Linked DNA regions of Sus scrofa. The protein of the gene in region 1 purifies or fractionates together with the protein of each later gene. This does not show direct contact. Links are inferred from orthologs where the notes say so. Each region holds a gene or a part of one and is shown in the gene's direction. Other genes may lie near its edges.

Region 1 (3,746 bases):
AGCTGTGGTGTAGGTTTCAGACGCGGCTCGGATCCCGCGTTGCTGTGGCTCTGGCGTAGGCCAGTGGCTACAGCTCCGATTCGACCCCTAGCCTGGGAACCTCCATATGCCGTGAGAGCGGCCCAAAGAAATAGCAAAAAGACAAAAAAAAAAAAAAGAGTGCAATTAAGCCAGGGAGAAGCACAGGAAGGGCTCTAAGCTATTCAATTTTAAACTAGTCATTTCTAAAGAAGCATAAGGAATATAACTTTTCTCTTAGGTGTATGAAGTTCCGATATCAAATTGTCTGTATTTTATGGGCTGAAGACCAAATACACACACACACACATATCGAGAAAGGAGAGTATATTTTATTCTGATCACAGAGGCAGAAGATTGGCCTGTGTTGTTAGCATCCTTTTATTCTTCCCATTTCATTTCTCCCTTATGTAAACTGGTTCTCTTCATGACAGAACGTCCCGCTGGGCTACACTTTGGGCGGGAAGGTACGGACACTTAGAAGGAAACTAACTTTTACCCTCCCCCCGGCCTACCACTTATTTGGGGCTCCAAATCCAGGGTGGTTTTCCTCTACATCCCACCCGCCACCTCGCTTTCACACCCTTGCCTCCTTCCGCAGTGCCGGTTGCCAGAAGGCTGAAATACAGGAAAGGTCGACAGAAAACAAAGAACGCAGCTTGACAAGGGAAAAGCAAAACAAACAAACAACCTCCCCCTGCCCAGGGGTAGGGAGCCAGCACAGACCACCTTTAACACCAGCCCCCAGTGCCCCAATTCCTTTGCCCAGCCCGGAACTCCCCGCAGGCCCCGCCCCCTGCCCCACGGCGCGCGCTCATTTGCTGGCGCCCATCTTCTCCGCTTCCCCATTGATTCGCTCTCGCCTCCTCTTTGATGCCCTCTGCTCAGCTCCGCCCCTCGCAGAGCGGCAGCCCGGCGCAGGCCCGGCTCCTCGCCACTCGCGGACCTTTTTCCGTGTCGCTTTCTCCTTCTTCCCGGCATTCCTGTTTCCGCTTTCTCATGGCTCTTAGCTTTTCCCACCTCTCAGGCACTTCGCGCCCAGGGGTTCAGTGACGTCATCTCTCCGCGCTGCGCGGACACCCGCCGGTGGAGGAAGGAACGGCTCCGCCGCCCTTCGCTTCTTTGTTGGGCTGCTGCTCCTTCGGAGTCATGGCGCCGTCGCTCTGGAAGGGGCTGGTGGGCATCGGCCTCTTCGCCCTAGCCCACGCGGCGTTTTCCGCTGCGCAGCGTAAGTGCCTGGGGGACGGGGACCGCTCCCGTGCGGGACTCCGGGGGCAACGTGTGGGCGCACCCCTGAAGGGAGTGTCGGACCGAGTGTCCCGGGAACGGTCATTTGAGACCTTAGACTTTGGGGTGAGTGTGAGAAGCAGTACAGGGCTCCCCGGTGCAAGGCTTTCAGTGTGAGTTAGAGGAGAGTGGGGCACCTGGGATTGCAGCAGGATTGGAAGGGGGTGTTGGGGAGAGGGCTCAGCACGGGACCGGCGGGCTGCAGGATGGGCAGAGAGGAAGTCTATCCGAGAATTCGAAACAAGTGATGTCAGATCCAGCGTGGGGCTGATCAGACAAAGTGTCAGACTGAGGATCTCGGATGCTCACGGCCCCATGACAACTAGATGGACAACATCTTGGGCACTCCTGGGCTGTCCAGGCACACTGAGAAGTTAGGTGACCATTTGCCTCAGGGAGGCACTGTGATCCAGGGCGAAGAGCACTGAACTGGGGGATTGGAAGGCTGGTTCTTAAAAACTTGCTTTACCACTAAATCCGTGACCTTGGGCACATCATATCCCTTCCCTGAAGTTTCATTGAGGTGGATTTTAATTCGTGCCCTGTCTATGTCAAAGAGCGATAGGGAAGTTTAAGTGAAAAAAAAAAAAAGTAAAAGTACTTTATCATACGCATACAATTGTGAGGTCAAGAAGAAACCTGGAGTCCAGCAGAGGATGCAGTGCAGTCTTGAGACGGTTGATCTGTTTTGAGGTCTTCTCTCCTAGACCAGGAGCTAGCCATCTCTGGCATGTGGGCCAAATGCGGCCTCCCTCCTGTTTTTGCAGGGAGCTAAGAATGCTTTTAGACTTTTAATTTGTTTTGGAAAAAACAAAGGAATATCATTTTATGATCCATGACAGTTATATAAAATCCAGGTTTCACTGTCCATCAGTGAAGTTTTATGGGCACACAGCCACACCCATTCATTTGGGTATTGTCTGGCCGCTCACTAAGGGCAAAGTTGAGTAGTTGCAACAGATAATAATATCTGGTCCTTTACAGGAACAGTTTGCTGACCTCTTTCCTAACCTATAGAACCCATGAGGACAGAGACAATGTATATTTTGTTTATTTCTGTAATTTCATGCCTAGCACAGTGTTCTCCACTGTAGGTATTTAAGAACTTGAATGAAGGGAACAAATTCAGAGTTGACCTTTATTCCTTTCTTTGCTAGATTACTTTCCATCTTCAGGACTAAAGTAGAAAACGAAATGTGACTTCCTTCAAAGCGCCAATTGTTTTCAAGACAAAACCTTTTGTCCTATTTATTATATATAATTAAAAGGATCCAATTATTAAAATTACTTTTTACATATGTGTATTATGACATTTGTCTGACAGAAATTCAGCTTTATTAAATTTTTGTTGTGAAATTTTAGATTTACAGAAAGGCTGCAAAGATAGTACAGAGAATTACTGTATACCTCTCCCCCCAGGTTCCCCCACTGGTAGCATCTTACATTACTGCGGTGTAATGTCACAACTAAGAAACTGCCAGTGGCACATTACTAGTAACTAAAGTCTAGCTTTTCTTTGAATTTCACCAGTTTTCCCATTAATGTCTTCTTTCTGTTCCAGGAATCAATCCAGGGTATTGTATTACATTTAGTTGTCATGTTCCCCAGGCTCCTCTGTTCTGTGATAGCTTCTCAAAAACTCCAACCTTTAATGATAACGATAATAATAGTCAACATTTATTAAGTGCCTACGGTGTGCCAGGCGCTGAACTAAGCACTTTACAGGTATTATATAATTCAGTCCTACCAGTGAGGCAGATATTATTGTTATTATTGCCTTTGAAAGATGAAGAAATTGAGACACACACTGCTAGGAAGCTTGTGCAAAAATTACAGAGATGATAAATGGTGGCGCTTCAAAACAAGCAGTTTGATTCTAGAGCCTGTGTGCTGCACTGCTTGGTAAAATTCAGTCTTGAGTAATTGGTTGAAATTGCACTGTGCTTAGGTGCTAGAAGGTGCAATGATGCCCTGAGGGAGTTCAGAGTCAAGTGGAGAAACAAATGGATCAAGAAACAATCACAGTAGTCATACAGATGCTAGGCTAAAAGTAGGTAAAGATATATTGAGGCAGGGGAAGTCATTTTTCAGGTGGCAAAGGGGTTAATAAAGGTATCCAAGAGCCCCGATCAAGTGTGGTCAGTAGACCAGCATCTTGGGACTCGCCTGGGAGCTTGTCAGAAATGCAGACACTCAGACCCCGCCCCAGATCTTTGGCGTCTGACTCTGTGTTTTAATAAGCTCCCCAGGTGATCTGTGCACACATTCATTTGAGAAGCGCTGCCCTAGAGGAATTGAGGATGCTGGAGTACTGCGCCATTTCCTACAATAGACTTCAGCTGTAAATTCGTGCAGTACTAGAGCAAGGAGACAGATGACTGAGGTCCAACCCCTTTTACACCTGAGGAAATGCCTTGCTCAAGGTCGAGTTACGTTAGAGT
Region 2 (3,646 bases), on another chromosome or scaffold:
GTACCAGGCTATGGTCATGCACTGGACACTGAGGTGGTTGAGATTTTTACCTCCATGGTCACTTTGTGGGGGCTTCAAGGTATATGTCCTGGAGAGCTCTTTTCCTGGTTGAAGGAAATAAAGGGTGATGATTTCTTCCTGAGAGTGACAGTAAGCCCGGGGGGCGGGGAGGGGGGGCGGTTGTGCCAGATGCTGCTCCTCAGGAATTTGAATTTCTTATCTCCAGGCTCTACCCTGAGGAACACTCAGCCCTGGATGATGGAGGCCTGGGCATTTTTAATCTGATGCACCATCAGTATGGAGAATTGTTCAGTTGTGCCCTTTGCGATCACCTAGTTACATTATTCCCACTTTCCAGAGGCGGGACTAGGCAGCCAGAGAGGGAACTCGTTCCGGATCTCCGCTAGAAAGAGCAGGGACTGAGATCGGAGCCCAGGCCCAGGCGGGCTGACTCCAGGGCCCACCCCTGTAAGGTGGGTGCTGGGAGGCGAGGCGGGGCGTGGCAGTTGTTATCCAGGCTCCCCAAGGAACGCCTTCAGGACTGCTTGAGGGCCGAGCCCCCACGATGCCAGCTCTGTGTAATACAACCACTTGAAGAGCTCCCTGATGGCACAGCAGGTTAAGGATCCTGCGTTGTCACTGCTGCGACCCGGGTTCGATCTCTGGCCTGGGAACTTCCACAGGCCGGGCAGGCTGGGCCAAATACTTTGAAAATTAAAATCGAGCGTGTTGACAGCCTGGCTCGGGCCGCCTCCCTCCACACGCCGGCCCCGCCCTCCGCCGCCACACTTCCGGCGAGGCTGCGGCCGCGGAGGGGCGCCGGCGGGCGGCCGCTGGGGGTGGCGGGATAGGCTGGGCGCGGCCGGCGGTGCGGGCCCGCTGCTGCTGTCCAGGTCTCGGCGGCCCCCCGAGGGCCCTCCGTCCCTCCGGCGCCATGGGCAATTGCCACACGGTGGGGCCCAACGAGGCGCTGGTGGTTTCAGGTGAGGGGGCGGCGGGGGAGGGGGGCCGGAGACGTTTGGGGCGGGGGGCCGTGCCCGGGAGGGCGGGGACCGGGCTGGGCAGCGGACGGGGAGGGGCTCCGCGGGTGGGGGGCAGCGCGGGAGGTGGGGCCTGAGTCCGCGGCTTCCCGGGCCGCACCTGAGACCCTTTCAGGAGGGACCCCTGTGCTCCACCTTCCTGCCCCGCGTTCTCGGGCACTCGCCGGGCTCTCCCCCCGCCTTCCCCCGCTGCGTGTTTGCCGGTGTTTATTCCCTCCTTCCTTCGTCTCCTCCCCTAGCAGGGTCGCCCCTGTGGCCTAGGGGGTCCTGAACTGAAGCCTTGGGGTTCCGGGAACACAGTTTGGCTGGATGCCAGCGCCCGGGACTAGGGTGGGTCACGCAGCCTTGGAAGGCAGGTGCCCATCTGGGCACAGACCCGTTAATTCCCAGCAGGCTGGGGCGTGCTGGTTTATTGGCACTGCCCGCCTGGGAAACGCGGGTGCGGCCTCTACAGGTTGCGAAACCGGGCTCTGGGCTGTGTCGCTCAGGTTGCAAAATGCTGCAGGCTCCAGAATTTCTGTGAGCTTAGGTGGGGCCGGGGGACTGCAGTATTGGGGAGATGAGAGGGATCTTGTCCTAAGGCTGCTGTGTATGTTGTATATTTGGGAATTTGAGGAAGAGGCTGGAGCCTTTCAAGCCATCAATTTGTGCAGCCCAAGCTCACAGGTGCTGGGGAGAGGGCCTGTTTCCTGACAGCTTGGAGGCCTGTAGCTGCAGGAATCCCTCCTGTCTTTACTTCCCACTGTCAGTGTGGATTCTCCGCCTGTGCACAGAGTCGTTAGGGCTGGCTCTAGAATTGAGCAGAAGAGGGTGTGCTGGGCCAGGGCAGGAAGCTGTCCACCTTTGAGAGGTGTGATGAATCCATTGGAAACTTTCACCCCAGAACATGGCCTCTGGCTCAGTGTGGATCTCAAAATTGATTTCCCTGGGACAGGAAATCCCCACTCTCCCTCACTAAGACCTTACCCCTGTGGGGGAATTTAAGATTCTTTACCTCCCTGAAAACCAGAGCTAGCCGTAAGGTCACTAGGGAGACCCCCAGAGAGCACTGAGGCCAAACCTACACCTCTGTAAGACCTGGGCCAGGGGTTCCCGCCTGCCTTGGTGCAATGGGTCAAGAATGCCACCCAAGTCGCTGTGGAGGCACAGGTTAGAGCCCCATCCAGGCACAGTGGGTTTAAGGATCCAGCATTGCTGCAGCTGTGGCATAGGTCGCAGCTGTGACTTGGATTCAATCCCTGGCCAGAGAACTTCCATATGCCTTGGGTACAGCCATAAAAACAAAAACAAAAGACCTGGGCCAGTCTCCCAGCCCCCACCCCTAGAGAAGCTTGTAGAAACCCCAATCTGAGCCACACTGCACTTGGTTTTGCTTGTGGAGTTTCTTTCTAGAAGCCCAGACTCTGGGCCAAGGAGACAAAATCTCCGCTCTCGTCCTTGTAGAGACCCTTGAGACTGGAGGCAGGAGGAAACCCTGCACTGTGCCTTCCAGTTGCCAGGAACCTGGTCCCCTGGCCAGTGGCCAAAGCAGGGCTGGCTTAGAAGCTGTTTTAATGGTGTGGAGAGGAGGCGTGCTGAGAATTAAGAGTGCTGGAGTCAAGGGAGGGTGGAAGAGAAGAGAGAGAGATAATGCCCGGCATAATAGAACCTTGGGATTTGACATAATCATGCTAAGATGCAGCTCCCTTGTACTCGTGGCCTCCCTGCCCTGCCCCCACCTGGTTACCTGAGCCTGCCTCTAAGTCCAGGGGTATCTCACACAGCCCACTTTCAGAAGGAGGATGCTGATACAGTTCACCATTATCTTTTTCACTTGAAAAGTCTGGAGGTTTGGGAGTTCCCATCGTGGTGCAGTGGTTAACGAATCCAACTAGGAACCATGAGGTTGTGGGTTCGATCCCTGACCTCACTCAGTGGGTTAAGGGTCTGGCGTTGCCGTGAGCTGTGGTGTAGGTCACAGGCGCAGTTTGGATCCCGTGTTGCTCTGGCTCTGGTGTAGGCCGGTGGCTACCCCTAGCCTGGGAACCTCCATATGCCAAGCGCACAGCCCAAGAAATGGCAAAAAGGCAAAAAAAAAAAAAAAAGGTTCTTCTTGTCTAACTTCCCTCCTTAATTATGTAATACAAAACCTTTTCCTCTGTTTCTACTCTTGGGAATTTAAAAGGAGAATCTAAATACCATACACCTTTCTCTCATCTCCACAGTAGATCAGAAGTTCTTAACCTGGGGTTTGTAGAAAGAATTTAGAGATCTTTGGATTGGGGGGAGTACATTTTTATTGACACTAACTTTAACGGAAATTTAGTGTTTCTTATGATTATTAATGTCAACAACAATCCTCGGTAGTATTAGCAAATATTTTCCTACTGTACTGCCTTTGTTGCTTTGTTGTAGTTACCTTAAAAATCATTTTCGAGGAGTTCTTGTTGTGGTGCAGTGGAAACGAGTCTGACTAGTAATCATGAGGATGCAGGTTCAATCCCTGACCTTGCTCAGTGGGTTAAGGATCCTGTGTTGCTGTGGCTCTGGTGTAGGCCAGCAGCTGTAGCTCCAATTTGACCCCTAGCCTGGGAACCTCCATATGCTGCAGGTGTGGCCCTAAAAAG

What was found.
Region 2: the proteins of MMGT1 (region 1) and FLOT2 purify together in Homo sapiens (affinity purification with mass spectrometry; 3 studies listed by BioGRID and IntAct, with this or other methods). This does not show direct contact. The link is inferred for Sus scrofa from reciprocal best matches to the Homo sapiens genes MMGT1 and FLOT2.

Annotation. Positions count from the first base shown.
Region 1 is NC_010461.5:111,155,656-111,159,401, reverse strand, and holds the start of MMGT1 (membrane magnesium transporter 1 precursor), read left to right. Parts: upstream 1-1,103; 5' UTR 1,104-1,167; coding exon 1,168-1,246; intron 1,247-3,746. UniProt on the Homo sapiens protein: Part of the endoplasmic reticulum membrane protein complex (EMC) that enables the energy-independent insertion into endoplasmic reticulum membranes of newly synthesized membrane proteins.
Region 2 is NC_010454.4:45,117,642-45,121,287, reverse strand, and holds the start of FLOT2 (flotillin-2), read left to right. Parts: upstream 1-784; 5' UTR 785-934; coding exon 935-983; intron 984-3,646. UniProt on the Homo sapiens protein: May act as a scaffolding protein within caveolar membranes, functionally participating in formation of caveolae or caveolae-like vesicles. May be involved in epidermal cell adhesion and epidermal structure and function.